Lepisosteus oculatus: one gene and its partner. The protein of the gene in region 2 interacts with the protein of the main gene of each other region in a biochemical or structural test. Links are inferred from orthologs where the notes say so. Each region holds a gene or a part of one and is shown on either strand. Other genes may lie near its edges.

Region 1 (7,871 bases), on a different chromosome or scaffold from region 2:
AGAGATTCTGCTTCAAGCACAGAACTCAATCTCTCCCGGAACTGGAGAAAGAGCCAAAAAATGACATCCCATCCCGAAAGATTCAACAAATGGCTTAGAAAAATAAAGGAAAAGAATGTGCTCTGAGAAACAATTAAAAAAACAACAGGATCTAGCTAAGGTAAGGCAGCACAATCAATTGCAAACACATGGGTAAAAGGATATTAGAAAGGCCAAGAGAGAATTGAAAAGAATATTCTAATGGAAGCTAAAAAGTAAAAGGTGAATAAAGAGCTCCTTCAGTGTTACAGCAGGTAAAGAAATGTCAAGGATGAAGTAAAATATACCCGAGACAATAATAGGAAACTTCTAGACAGGGGCTGATGTAATTTAATTTCTATCCCTTTATTTTATTCTGTTGATGCAGATTTTTGCACATAACCTGTTACCTTGTTGTTGTTTTGCACATTGCCTGTTATTGTTTTTTGCACACTGCCTGTTGTCTCTGTCTTTCTTTTGCTACACAATTGTATTGTTGTTGTTGTTGTTTTTCTCTTTGTACTACTTATGTCCGAGAGCTAGCTAAATAGCATTTCGTTATACCATATACCATGTATATGAGTGTAATGACAATAAACTTGAAACTTGAACTTGAAACTTGATGTACTAAATGAGCATTTCATTCAAGTATTCACTGAAGAAGACGTCAACAACAGGCCTCCGGCAGCGGAAGGACAAAGGTCTGTACTGCAGCGTAGCACACATCCCTCAGAGGGTGACAAACACTGACTCGGGGAAATTACTGACCACCACACCCAGCACCCGGCACATGAAACGTTACGGAAATGGTTTCAGAACGAAAGGAGAGGATCACCTGTCTAGAAATCAGATTGTAATAAACAGTCAACACAGATTTATAAGAAAGACCAACTGTTTAGTTTGGCACTTAACCTCCTGGAATCTGGAACCTGTCTCGCCTCTGTCTCTTCATCAGCAGCTTAAGGCCACTGAGAAGCGGAGACGTCGGTGTTGTCAAACCTTAATTCAATCAATTCAGCCATTTTCCATGTAGCAGAGCTACAGCCATTTCCAACTTCAATATCAGAGTGGGGAAACTCACAGTTCCACTCAGGTGCACCCATTCAGGTTTCACTGGTCGCTTTTCAAGATGTCTGCTGGGTTGACTTCATCGATAAATTTTCAGATGGACGATGAATGAAAACTCATAACACTTAGCTCAGAGTCAGCTGACATGCAAAGAAACTTTGCTGAGTTAGACAGTAAATGTGCCTCATTCTGCAGAGGAATATGTATCAGAGATTTAAGTGCCTAAATCATTCTAGAAATAAAACAGTCCTCCTGTTATAAAACAGAAAAGTGTGCCTGACCAACTCTTTTCCAGAGGGCTGGATGAGCGCATGGACACGTTGTGGCTACAAGACATCTGTTCCAGCCCACTGTGAATGTTTTTATCTCAGCGAAACCCAAGAAACACCTGTCATTTAAAAAGAACCAGGAGCACCTGCTCAATCCTACAATAGAAACCACAACATACATTTAAAAAAACAGCAACTCAGGTGTGAAGCCCTCAGCAGATTACCACAGGATTTACAGCCCACAGTAATGTGCGTTTCAGTATAAATCCCTCCTGGTAACCAAGACAAGGCCGGACAGGAGAAGTTATCGAATTAACTACACCATACATCCGAAATCATCTTAATTTATTCTAATGTGTCCTAGTCTCCTGTGGTAGAAAAGACTTGCGAGTTTTTTTTAAAGTTTCTTTTGTAAAGGAAACAACATCGCAATCGTTTTTTTTTCTCCTTTCTGTCCCTCGTGGCGATAGGCTGGACGAGCTGGACGAGACCCCAGGGTTAATGGAGTTGGGTGGGCGACACATGAGCCATTTGAAAAAGAGATTAAAAATAGCCCAGGCTTTCCAGCCGACATGAGGAGTACCTGACAGCTGAGTCACCTTTAAATCTGCCCCAGCTTATAAAATAATACATAGAAAGTTAGGGCAACGTCCTTAAAAACACAAGAAACTGAACTGACTTATATAAAGTGTTGGTTTTGGTTAATATTCCCCAACACGTGGTTCCTGAAGGTTAAATCTTGCTCCTCCCTTGCTCCTCTGGAAATGCTGTCCCTTTCAGCGTTCATGTTCAGCGTGACATTTTGCAACAAAAGGTGACATTACACCGCTGTATACTGAAGAACTAGAACACATGCCTTGTTTCGCGTCTAAGAGCAGGCGAACGCGGGTTTCGCCAGCCCAGACACGAAACGGGCACGTCTTTGGGGCTCCCTCACTCCAGGAAAATTTGAGCCCAGAAGAAGCGCTGCGGATGACCCGTTTTCGAAAAGCGTTCAATCTTTACGAGCAGGGCGCTGTCAAATCACAAATCACAAAGCAAAAACAAAACCGACTCGGGGAAGCTGTCTGCGCCTCTCTCAAAAATAAAAAAAACGCATTATAGTCTGCATGCGTGAAGTTACAGATCCCTACCGCATTCCGGCGGCAGTGCTGAAAAACCCTCTCTCTCTCTCTCCGCGGAGGAAGTTTGGACTCAAAGCTGTGCCCGCACTCGAAAACCAAAGACTGTTAGGGGGGTGGGATAACCGAGAATCGCACAACCGCCGTCTTAGCAGTGCTCAAGGCAGGGAGACCGGGAGGGCAGGACGGGGTGAGTTATTTCAGCCGGCGCTGCGAGCTGGTCGAGAGAATGGTGGACACGGACACGGACACGGACCCCCGGTCCCCCTCCGTGCGCAGCGCGGTTCACGTGTGTCCAGCGGGGCCGCACGGCCGCCTGCGCGGCACCGCCGAGCACTTACTGGGGAGTCGTAGGAGAAGGCGCACTCGCTCTTGAAAACCCGGTCCCCGGTCCTGGGGACTCGGATGGTGGGCATGTACGGGACCAGCAGCTCTCCCAAGTCTGCAGCCATCTTCGCATTCCTGCCTCCAGCCCCAGAATGCTACCGCGAGCGAGGGAGACGGAGCTGGAAGTCTGGGAGAGCAGCTAGCACATGATGCTATTTTTAAATGAACACAGACCCGACATTCCTGCAGGATCCGGGAGAGTGACGCTGTGAAGCGAGGGGGGAGGAGGAGAGCGAGATTAAAATTGAACGTATATATATATATTAGGTGCTCGGGCGGTATTTCTTAACCCCCCTATTGGGTTTACATCGATTTCTGTTTCGCCGTGAATTTGGCGCTGCCGACTGTCAATTTACCCAATTCCGCGTCTCCCACCTTCCCCGGCGGAGGCGCGTCGTTTGAAAGGAGACTCGAGGTTTCGGCGTTTGTAATCAATTTGGCGACGGTGCGTGACAAAACCGACGAAGCCCGCCCGCCCGCGGCGTGGAAACGGTCCTTTAAAGCTTCAAAACGAAATTGGTCACCGCTCAGATGAGGTTGCAAATTCCGCATGGCGGGGTTATGCGACAATATACAATATAGCAGCGCCGGACGGTGCTGAAACCCGACGAATAAAGCAGGTAAGAAGGTTATAAAGAGGCAAGAGGTTCTAACGGAGGATATGTTACAATTTTTTTAACTCCTTCATCGCGGTCACTGGTCATTGATTAGCGATTAGCTCACGTGAGGTGGGGGGTAAGATGACCTGCCCGTATAAGGTGTTTTGTAAAACAGCGTTCGACCTTTTTTTTATCTTAAATACCCGATTGTCCTTTGTGCGAATTACGCCCCCCCAAAGAGAGCAGACCTTCAGATGGACTGGACGAACACGCCCCGAATCGACTCCGCTTCCTCGGACCCGGCTGACCTGAAGTCAACACGTCTTTTAAAGCACCGAACATATATGAAAGTGTAAATCGATTCTGCTGAACCTCGGGTGGATCAGACGTCGAGTCCAAGGTGGGCGTGGGGACAGGGCTTGTTACGAGCTGCATGAAAATTTCACATCCGACCCGATATTCACCTGTTTCCTGCTGATCACACAGAGGAGCAGACTGCTTTCCCAGAAATGTCTTGGACACCAGACAAAGAAAGCCAGTGACCAACCAGACAGCAGCATCTCACAGCTTCAGCGCCACAACCACGAGTCTGGTTTAGGGCTTCTCTCACTCAGTTGTGTGTTAATGATGATCTTTTTGGATTATCGAGCTTTCCAGAGTGTCGCTCTCCTCGGATAAAGTAAAGATCAGTTCTAAGTGCCTGTTTTGCATTTCTTGGGTAATTGACCAGGGGGTGCCCAACCAGTCGATCGCAAGAATGTGTGGTATCAAATAAATGGGCTATTTGACTACTTTTTTAGATAGCCTAAAAATTCATTCAGATCTGTGCATGTAATGTCATACATTTTACTGCCCTTGCTTGTGCTTAACCCTTGTGGAATGGGTTGTAAGAGTCTCTTCCCTGAGTGCTGGCCCACACTGAAGAAAAGGCTACAGGTGCTCTGTAGTGTTGGGTGGGCTCCCCGAGACCCCTCCCTTGGCTATTGCTGCACGAACCCCACATTCGCCACAGCACATGGTGGAGCGAACCAGACAAATGGCCGTGACAAATTCGCCAACAGTTTGAGGAGTTAGATTGCCCTTTTTATGATAGTTGTAGTGTTTGAGCGAATACGATGAAGCAAAGAGCCCGAAGACTTACCCTCACCACGAGGAATGGGGGCGCGATTATTTTTTTGTACTTTCGCATTCAAATCTGCAAAGCTAGCGTCTACGCGAAAAAGGGAAACAAGAGAACCACATTTCAAAACTGCACACAAAATGTAAGATGTGTGCTTTCCCCACTAAAAGTGAGTTACGGAAAAAAGTTGAAAAATTAAAATCTCAACTAGCGGCAGTTGGTTTTAACGTGGCCTAACACTGGAGGGAAACCAGCAATCATCGCTGCTGCTGACTTGCTGTTTGGAGATTTCACAGACAGACAGCTATTGCCTGAAATGAGAGTTTCTCAAATAGTCTAAACACGGTGAATGTGCCCAATGAGAGGGCGACCAGTGGCTTCTGGGCTTAGCAGTCCTCCCAGACTTGACTGAACTGCCGAATGAGCTGAATGTCGAGCTGCAGGGACACAATAAAAGTGTCTTCGACACGATCAGCAGTGTCAACACGCTCAAAAAAACGATTACAAGTGTCCTCAAGTAAGCTTCTCAGTGTCAATGCTGACATGAAGGTAGGATATTTTTTTTCTAAAATGGGGAACATGACTTGTTCACTGTAGCCTGAGTCACTTGCTTTTAATTGCTGTCATTTTAGTGATGGGTATAGTTATTGTACTGATGTGTCCACAGTCTGTTTTTCCTATATCAGAGCTTCAAATTCACACTGGTAGTTCGCGCGGGACTGGCACATGAAAAAGTAAATCTTTCATTAAAAAAAAAAGGTTGGGCACCCCTGTAATAGACCCTGAGCATCACATCTAATTGACAAAAGACATGTGGGCAGAGCAGGTGGCCATCTCCTTAAGAACACAAAGACAAAACTGCCATCACTTCCTGGGAGAAAAAAAAATGACCAGCTCAAAAATGAAAGGAAACGTTCTAAATCTTTTTAAAATGAATAGTTTTCTCTCTTTAATCTAGTAGATCCCAGTGCTGGTCCTGGTGAGCCCCACACCTGCTGGGTTTCAGTCCCTCCCACCTCCAGCAGATAACTGAGGCCTTACTGGATCAACAAGGAGCTGCTCCAGTTCAACATTGGCGTGTTGTTAGTAGTCACAAGCTTGAGAATGTAAATCTCTCGAAAAAGGCAATGTTGGTTAAAGCTTGAATGTGTGTAAGAGTTGGACACAGTTCAAATTAACTATTAAGATAAGATCACTTTATTGGCCGTATACAATTTCTTGTGTTAGGAATTTGTCTTTTCGCAGACCCCAGCTTGCTCTCCATGAGACACACAGACAGGGAGAGAAGCTGGGGGTCAGAGGGTAGGGTCAGCCGTTTATACAGCGCCCCTGGAGCAGTTGGAGTTAAGGCCCTTGCTCAGGCGCTCAATGGATTAAGGTAACAAACCAGCAACCTTCCAGCCACAGGCAGATCCCTAGCCACAGAGCCACCGCTCCGCCCCATATTAAGTGAATGAAGACTTGACTGTAGACCTGAGGGTTTGGATGGAGCAGAACCGGGTCAGCAGGACAGGGACCACAGGGGATCACAGTTTTAAACAGCACTCTTAAACAAAGCTGAAACATTGAAAAGGCTTTATTTAAAGCCAGAGCATTATTATACAAACATATACAGGGGATAAATTACTGGCATGCCCCCGCCGAGCGGGCGAGCAGGCGGCGGTCTCTGCGGCTCGCGGAAGGCCGGCGCTGCCTCAGTTGTCGGGCGTGGCCTTGTGGGAGTAGTCAATCAGCTGCTTGTCCATGGTCTCCACCTGGAACCAGGGCCCGTCGCCCTTCTGGCGCATGTGCCTGCGCACCTCCTGCTGCTTCAGCCTGTGGCGCAAGCAAAGGCAACGCGTTACTCTTGGAGAGTGGGTCCCCCCGCCCCCCGCCCCCCGCCGGGACAGCCGGAACAACGATGGGCCGAGGGGCCCCCCTCAGGCACGCGCAATCACACACAGACACCAACGTCAGCCAGGACTCCCCCAAAACACAAGGACGATGACAAGGGGTCTGCTAAGGGCATGAAACAATAACTGCTACAGGGATTTTACTTCTCGATGTCACGGGCAGTATTGAAGTATCAAAGAAGGGAGAGCCCGCTCAGTCAGACCCCTCGCCGAGCTGAGCAGGGGGGACAAGCTCCACGGAGCCGCTTCAGAGAGCGGAGGGGCTCCCCAGTCTCCACGCCGCCACTGACCTCAGCTCGGCCTTTTCCGCCTCAATCTGGATCAAAGCCATCATCTTCTCGTAGTCCTTCTCTGGCGGGTCGTAGAAGTTCCGGACGATCCACCGGGTGATGGGGTGCTGAAGGAGAGAGACGGACAGACCCGGGACGTTGGACAGAGGAACCTCTTGGTTCTGCACGGGTCCATCTACAAGCTGACTGTCAGCTTTCCTCTTCAGAGATTAATTTGGTTTTGCCCGCCTAGTTTAGAATCGCCAGCTGCCCTGTGACTGCACACGGGGGAGCGTGAGGAAGAGCAGGGGGATCCCCCCCCCGGCCGTTTGAGCCCCTCGTGTTTGAACACGTCACAGGCAGCACCGCCCCGCCCTGCAGGGCCAGTGCCGACTGGAGGAGGCACGTCCCCTCGCTGACCGCACCGCAGGCCTGCAAGCGCCCCAGGAGGCCACAGGAGGCGCTGTGGTGCCCACAGACTCAGTCCCACCCCACCCTCTGCGAATCCCAGTCATGCTGGGCTGGTGGTGTGACCCCCGGCTCGAACCCGTGATCGTGGGGCCCAGCCTGCAGACAGGTGAGCACCTTCACAGCATGAGCCACTCTGGGGGCTCGAAGCAGATTATCACTAGCAGACTCATTCCTTCAACACACCCCCCATGTGGAACTGTTTACCACACCGAGCCAACCCGCGCTGCCTCATGGGCGTGTCCAGGGCAAAGTGAAACTCACGATCACATCCTCCGTGACAATTAAACTCCTCTTTCACCACGGAGCAAGACCTGGTTAGTATGGGTCTCTAGGGGAGGCTGGATACAGACATCAACCTTAATTAAGGTACAGATGTGGACTTCAGGTATTACAGATTTTGTAACCCTTTTATATTTGGTCTCCAAACTGGGGATTAATATCCCTGCTACTGCACAATATCCAACATGGTCCTGACAAAACCTCCGATTTTCCTTCAAGCTCAGGGGTCCCCAATTCCAGACTGGATTTCGGACTGCAGAGACCCGGGTTCAGACTGAAGGGGTACTTCCTACAGAACAATGACCCGTTTTTGACATGATATCACTTCAGAGAGTTTGGAAATCTGGTCTAGATGGGAGAGTGCCACCTATTGGCACA
Region 2 (7,794 bases):
TACAGCCCAGTAGCTGTGGTCCTGCTATCACAGGGAAGGGCGGTGACGTCACCCGCTCTGGTACGCCGGCTCTTACACAGTGCCTGTCGGCCGTAAGCGTTACAATACTATAATTATTTACGTCACCTGTAGATCTGAAGTTCAAATACGAAACCCACCTCTCCTCAATTCACTTACATTTTGTAAAGAACATAAGAAACAGGTGACGTTTTAATCTCGACGATATTTAAATTTAGAATTGCACTAACTTCAAAAATGTGTTGCCCATGTTACGCCACTGACTGTCAGTACAGGCGTACAGTATATGCGTGGAGTGTGCCGAAATAAAGTCTGAGCTCTTCAAACTCTACTGGTCACAGGTTTTAAAAATCAGGAAAATCTATAATTAGAGCATAGCATTCATATACAGTAGATATATTCATACATATTATGCACATACAGTACATTAATATACAGACACCTATAGAAGGCTCCACAGCCAAAACGGTGTCTCTTTTCTTTTCAGCACGGAATAAACCTTTACTTGTTCCTTCATATACAGCATATGTGCATTCATACACATACAGTACATGATACAACAATATGATACAGTTATTTACGTTTTGTAAATATAAATATAAAATCTGTACTATTTTACTTTATACTATATAATATATAGCAATATAGTGTATATACTACATATAACAATTCAGTTTTGATCTATCAGATTATTTAATTTTATATTGTACACCACACATTCTTGAAGAAAGAAAATCAAAGTATGATTATCTGAACATTTGCATAAGTGAGTTAGATGTTGTACATATACAATATAATTTTTTATGATCATCTTTTTTTATGTTCCTGCTGTAGTGTTGACATATCTTTTCTGAACCTGCTAATCACATGGAAACCAGTCAATGTATTTAAGCAGAAAAGTCACATTATGGCATAATTGCTCACCAACAAAAAAATAACCTGTGTGTTCTGAGCTTGGGCAGCACTGCGACATGGTTGGTGAACTTTTTCTTCTTCACAGCTGTTGCGGTTCTGGGTTTGATTCCGCCTTCTGTGTGGAGTTTGCATGTTCTGCCTTCTGCAAGAGCAACTGTTCTCCTGCCATTTCCCCCAAAACATGCTGATAGTGGTTAACTCTAAGTCATTCTTGTGTGTGCCCTGCAGTGGGCTGGTCAGGGTATGGTCCTGCCTTGTGATCTCTGCTACCAGCTTCTGCTAAAGGTTGCCACAGCCCTTACCACGTACAAGTCCATGTATGATGAGGGAACTTCTCAATGGCATTTCCTTTAATTGTTTACTACACAGAAGAAAAGTCCAGACAATTTCATGCAAACTGTTAATATTTTAAGATAACTGACAAGTATTCATAAATAGAAATAGTTTTATATAATATGATGCATGTAAACCACTTTTAAAGCCAGGTGTTAAAGGTTTTACAAAGTTCAAATCAATAAAGTGACAATAAAGAGATTTCATGTCAGAGACATAATTCACTAAATGCAATGCCTTCTCAGTCCCCAAAGCAGCTGATAGGAATGATAGGAAGGCCTTATAGTATAAAAATATTTCCAATAAGCTTTCCTGAGGATCAGTTCATCTGAGCCATGGTGTTCCAGGTAATCCCATTTAAATACACTAATTGTACTTTGAGTATTAACTAGGCACTGAAATGATAATTACAGAGGAAAACAGCCACTGTATAATCTGTATTAGATTTTTTTACAAATAAAGTTGAAAGAAAAATGCAAATGCTAACATGAGTTTCCTTTTCTTTGCTAATCAGAGATTTAAAGAAATCCAATAAATTTAGTCAAAACAGTAAATCTTCCCATTTTGACCATGCCAATACCAAACCACGCAATTCCCTATTAGGGGTCGGTAATGATTAATGATAAAATTTCAACATTTGTTCCACTGGGACTCAACAACTACTGTATCTCTCAGTCTGGTTATTTTTCAAACTACTGATATGGCTTATATTCAGCTTTTCCTAAATAAGATGAAGAGCCAATCTAAAAATATAGTCTGAAAAGCTTTGCATCTAAATCTTAGATCATTCTGTTTCTCTTTTAGGGTTTGAATATAGTTTCTTCTAAGAGCTGAGAGAGCACAGAAAATACTTAACAGCAGCTGTTCACAAAATGCACTGAGATTGACCTGCATTTAATACAGATAAAAGTTCTGATGGTTTTGATCTTATTAGATAACATTAAAATAATTTTTGCTGCTTAATACAGAAGTGTCAAATATGACCTTCAATTAGAACTGTTCTTGTACCATGGCTAATAACCTTCAATTAAGTGGCCTATGGTGGCTATGAAAATAATAGAGAAGATCTTGACATGTCTAGACATGAACAGGTGAGCTGTAGTATTGCCTTAGTCAGTCATAGCTGTCTCAGATGATTTACCGAACATGCAAAAAAAGAAATGTTATAGTATCAACCTTACACATATATATGTTAAGATCCCTATGAATTGCGTCTATATGCAAAACATGTTTTGTGTCCTCTATGGAAAACATTTTGTCCTTCATGGTTTCTTGTGGATTTTTGACACGATTTTCATACCTTTGGATATCCCTCTGGCAAAGCCTGGAACACGCTGTTGAAGCCAATAACCTGACTTCATTCAAAAATGTCTGGCTGAGACCTCTGGATTGTCTACTATCAAATGGGCTTGATGGGTTGAATGACCTTGTCTTGTTTGGGTTTTTTTTAGGTTCATCAATGAGGTCTACATTCCCATAATGCATATTAGAGAATTATGAAGATGTACAAATCTCTTTCCACTTTATTTGGTGATTTGTCTGTACGCTTGATTTGCAAAACCTAAAACAAGTATTTGAAAAACAAGTTTCTCTGTGCTCCTTTCCATGTAATTAGGACTTCTGAATTTCCTCAGACGGGAAACTCAGAAAGAACATACCAGCTGAGCAAGTAAAACAATGTCCTTGATAATTCAGAAAGCTCTTCTATCAGCAGGGTTTTCCAACTTTTTTGCCTACCTGCATGGCTTTCACAAGGTCAGGGTGTTTCCTGTGTATTAGTGAATTGGTATTCCATTTATATACAGTATCATTTTTTTTTCAGATCTCAGCTACATTTGATAAAGGTCTTTTAGGTAGTACTGGAAATCAATTTAAATGCTGTGAGTTACATTCTTGAATGGCAGTTTTTGAGAATCATTGTTTTTTATTTTAAAGTTATAACGTCACATGGATTTGTGTTAGCCTACAAATACTCCCATCTCACTATGAGAGCAAAAATGAGTTATCAGCTTGTAAACAGTTTTTGTTCCAGAAAAGCCAAGGTGGGAATATGAAAAATGAATTTCTCACATCAAAAAAAATGATATAGCAATTTATTGCCATATAGTAGTGCAAGCACTTCCATAGGTTAAAAGAATTTAGCAACTGATAATGATCAGTCTCTAGATAAAAATATCAGTTTATTTACATTTATTTTAAACGTGCTTATACACAAGCAGTTTAAGTTTAAATAAATTGTAGAATGGTTGCATTTTGATTTGTTTTATAAATTCTCTCAGTTTGTTTGCAATAACTAATTCTCAACAAAAAAGGATTGTTTAAGTCCAACTGGTATAAAAGTGATAAATAAACATTACTGAACAATTGGATTAAACTTTTCTGACATTAATGTTTGCATGTTTAGTTGTTGTCTGCATGATTCCCATAATGTAACCCCTTATATTTGATATATTTGACATATAAAGTATTCCCATCCTAACACTAACCCCAAGCAACACAAACCTTAAACTTGCATTTATAAGTTATTGTAACCAAGGAACATGGAGTAATGGTGTTTTCACTTCAAATAATAAATACTGTAGGCGAATGCAGATCTAAAACATTTACTGGTTTATTTATGTTTTCTTTCTCTAGCTATAAAAAATAACAATACAATGCCAAAAGAAACAATTGAAAACAAATCTAAAAATTAAGCCAAAGTCTCTTCAACCACAGTAAGGACCTTAACATATTTTATTTGTGCTCTTAACAGGTGCTGGGACTAGCGTTTTAGACATGTTTAGCTAACAACGTCAAGAGATAACGTTCCCACATCGCTTTAAAGTCTTTAACACGTCAAACCAGTGAGATTCTTGACCCCGTCAAACTCCAGGACAGGAAAAAGCAGCCGGTCTTGTTTCAACGTGTCATTCCCGTATAACCTGAAAGGTGGCGCCATGGCATAAGTCTTTACCCCTATGTCGTTCACTAGAACGTTCTACAAAAAATAAAACCCAAATAACGAGTATGTGCTTTTAAAGCACATCTCTTGGACCTCGGACTGTAGATGTATAGGTTCATGTCTCTATTTTATTTTTTGGACTTATATATATTATATGCTGGAAGACAGTGCCACAGATGACTGTGTGTGCTACTAAGTGACACGCCTGGCTTGGACTGGTTTACTTGATCTGATTTTACTTTTCTTGCTTGCGTAAGCACTTTACAAGTTGTACTGGGTGTCACTGCTAGCTAAGTTATCTGTGATTTTTTTTTCATTGATGCCATTTATTTTCGTTATTATGTAATGTTTTTGTTCCTCGCTCACACAGAACACTTCGCAGACGCTTGTAATAATTATCTCTGATAGACTTCAGAAACAATTGGACGTTTTTACGTATGTCAGCAAATCCCTGGCCTCCTAATTGTAAAAAAAGAACCTCAATTATTAGCGCGAAGCAAAGAAATAAAATATTGGAAACTTCCCCAATTACCAGCACACGTGACCTGCCCTTGGCAGAGAGGAGAGTTTCCCTGCGGTGTGCCTGTGTGTCCTTCCGCCCTCACTGTAGCCGCTAGTAGTATGTCAACGAGGCGCACTACGTCGGGTTTAAATGCGAAATATTTATTTTCGGGACACATTTTTCCGTTGCCGGTTTCTCTGTTGCGTGATCGGGACACCTGCGATTAAAGCGGTGGTAAAATCACAGCCACAGCAGGACTATTTGTGCACGGCGGCAGGATATATGGTGTAACCCAGTTTGTCTTTTTCTCTCGGAAGCCATGATGGAACTTTAGAGTTTTTTTTGCTGGAGAGGACGGAAAAAAAGGAAGGAAGATCGTCTCTATATATATTAAAATATTTTAAGCCCCTTTTATTATATATATTTTTTAAATTTTAAGGTGGAGGCTGTCAGTTTTTTTTCCCTGGTGTTTTGGACGAGGACGAGGATATTGTGTGCTTGGAGGGTTTCTGGGGGGGGGGGGGGATTTTAATATATATATTTTGTGTGTGTCTTGTCACAATTTTTCGGGGTTATTTTTTCGGGATCGCTGGAGAGGCTTTCTCTCCGCTTTTCTTCGCCTCAATCACGGCGGCGGCGGCGGATCTAGAGACTTGGGCCGTATTTGAAAGCTCACGGTTCGGGAACTGGGGGATCGCGGGAGAGATTGCGGGATCGGGGAAGCCGGGCCCGCGGAGGAGCGGCGAGAGGAGGCCCTGCCAGCAGCCATTCTAGTCCAGCCCGCAGCCGCAGGCAGCCGCCACACTCGGGCAACTGCGAGACCCGGGGAGCGAGCGGGGGAGACCGGGGGACGGCCCTTTCCACAGCCCGGGGAGGCAACGATACCCTCTCTTAACATACAAGCCCTAAAGACTCCTTTCACGGCGATGGCTGCGATCATCAAAGAAATCGTCAGCAGAAACAAAAGGAGATACCAGGAAGATGGATTCGACTTGGACTTGACCTGTATCCATTTTATACATATTTTAAGTATGCATATACATGCATGCGTGTCGGCATTTTAAACATTATTCTTAGGTATAGGGGGCTGAGATCCGATTCATGTTGAGTGGAATATAATGTTTTTGAGTCGAGGTCTTTTTTTAAATAGAGGTAAGTGGGATGTGGACGAGATCTGGATAGTTGCAGCTCTTATGGCCGGAGAGCTTTCACATTTCGCTGTAAGTGGACATTAAAACGGTTCCTGATCGCACTGGAGCATTGTGCGGGTAAAACGCCGTTTTCTTTCAGAAAAAGCGGCGCGGATGTGCGTTTTAGTGCGGTGGAGAAGCGATAAATGAAACGGAAAAGGAGCCCATTCTCTTTCGCAGTGTGACGAGGTCTTGGCCTAGATAAGGGAATGGATTAGATTAAATTCAAAATCACTGCTACACAAAGAGACATTGCATCAGCAACCTGCAGAAAACCAGTAGGTACGTGTCTCTGTATTGTGTGGCCAAATTAAATGCTTAAAGGTCTGGAAATATGCTGTCATTTAGCCAGAATCGAGGTTGATAAACGTGTGGTGGGGGTGGGGGTAGGTTTGGCTAATTTAGCCAGCGAGAAGAAATGTGTTGTAAAATATGCGTAGATGTCGTCTTTAGTAAGTCTTAGAATTGCAAATAGCGGGTTTATAATCGGTGTGGGTTTAAAAAGATGGATGTGTTGCCTACGGTCAGTAAAACACGGAAAGGATCAATTTAAAATAATCGGCGGTGGATTTATATATCGACAGGGACCCTTTCCAGTCTGTCGTCGTGTTTTCCAAAAGGTGGCTAAACATTCATGTCGTGTCGTTTGGGAATGTCATTTCACAGCTTGGCATCGGCGGTCTGTGAGTATCTGTGGGTCCAGCAGGTAAACCGTGCGGCTCCCATCCCCAGGCCTGCTGCCTTGGGTACCTCCTCGACAGAAACGCGGTTGACTTGACACTTCCACTAGCAGGGCGAAAACATCTATCGATTATCAGCGAGGTCCTCCGGGCACATCATCACCGGCGATGGCAGAGGCGTTTGATCTTGTTTAAATTCTCTTGTCTGTGGAACGAGAAATGATCTTTGCGTTTTCTCAGTAGTTAATGTGCATCGCTCCTTTAGGTAGATCTGGATTACGATGAGTGCATTTTCAGGTAATTATAGGTGAAGTGCTGCAGTACTGCTATAAAGTGCTCCACTTTGTTAACGGTAAAACTGATTTTGCGGATAGTTGAATTAGAGGCTGGATAGCACCACGGACCTATATGTAATTGGATACCTAAAGCTGCTTTTCCTTCAGGTTAGTGGTACTTTCCAGGCCAAACAGTAGGCCAAGACTGTGCTTCAATCACATATGTACAGTAGTCTCGCAAAAGGCAAGGCATTACCACTCTTCCTACAAGAAGTTTACCACAGACTGTTATAGAGACATGAAGTGCTTTTTTCTTTTTAGATTGAGTTGCAAACACATTTCTTGGTTTCCAGTGTAGTGAGGAGAGACAGAGATGGGATCAGTCCGAATCCCCATAAGCAGAGAAAATCACAGGCCTTGCTTTCCACTAAGACAGCAGGGGCACTGAGCAGAGACCTGCTTGTCTCGCCAGCTGGATACTGAATCCTGGCTCCTGGCTGTACTATTGGGGCATGCCTTGACATAATCAAAATACTATGTACATAATTCGACACTTGTCTGCTCCTCAGTTTAGTTATGACAGTCTTTGTTGGAATTAGACATTGTCGACAGGAACGGTTTTCAATCAATGTGAAATTTCTTCCAGTTGTTGAAAGACATGGTTGGAGCTTAGCATTTTGTTTTTCTCAGATTTGTTCTTCTATGAAATTGGTTTTCACCATGCACATGAGTATAAAGAAAGAACACACAGGCCTTGTAATGAGTTCTAGAAATAGGTTTTGTGCTGTAGGCAGATGCATAAATTTCCACTGTATTTTGGTTTAAATGAATTACTAATTCCCACAGTCTCCAAAAAAGCTATTAACTGCTGAACAGCTGTAAAAATGTTGATGGTATTACAAGGCGTCTTTCAGACCTTTAGGAACCTTTTGTGGGCCTC

Evidence for each region.
Region 1: the proteins of ptenb (region 2) and usp13 form a complex in vitro, tested with the Homo sapiens proteins (3 studies listed by BioGRID, with this or other methods). The link is inferred for Lepisosteus oculatus from reciprocal best matches to the Homo sapiens genes PTEN and USP13.

What each region holds. Positions count from the first base shown.
Region 1 is NC_090708.1:1,728,359-1,736,229, reverse strand, and holds the start of usp13 (ubiquitin carboxyl-terminal hydrolase 13), read right to left. Parts: upstream 3,019-7,871; 5' UTR 2,929-3,018; coding exon 2,818-2,928; intron 1-2,817. Other genes in the region: ndufb5 (NADH dehydrogenase [ubiquinone] 1 beta subcomplex subunit 5, mitochondrial), read right to left, coding at 6,277-6,397, 6,765-6,871. UniProt on the Homo sapiens protein: Deubiquitinase that mediates deubiquitination of target proteins such as BECN1, MITF, SKP2 and USP10 and is involved in various processes such as autophagy, endoplasmic reticulum-associated degradation (ERAD), cell cycle progression or DNA damage response.
Region 2 is NC_090699.1:21,663,324-21,671,117, reverse strand, and holds the start of ptenb (phosphatidylinositol 3,4,5-trisphosphate 3-phosphatase and dual-specificity protein phosphatase PTEN), read left to right. Parts: upstream 1-4,791; 5' UTR 4,792-5,635; coding exon 5,636-5,714; intron 5,715-7,794. UniProt on the Homo sapiens protein: Dual-specificity protein phosphatase, dephosphorylating tyrosine-, serine- and threonine-phosphorylated proteins.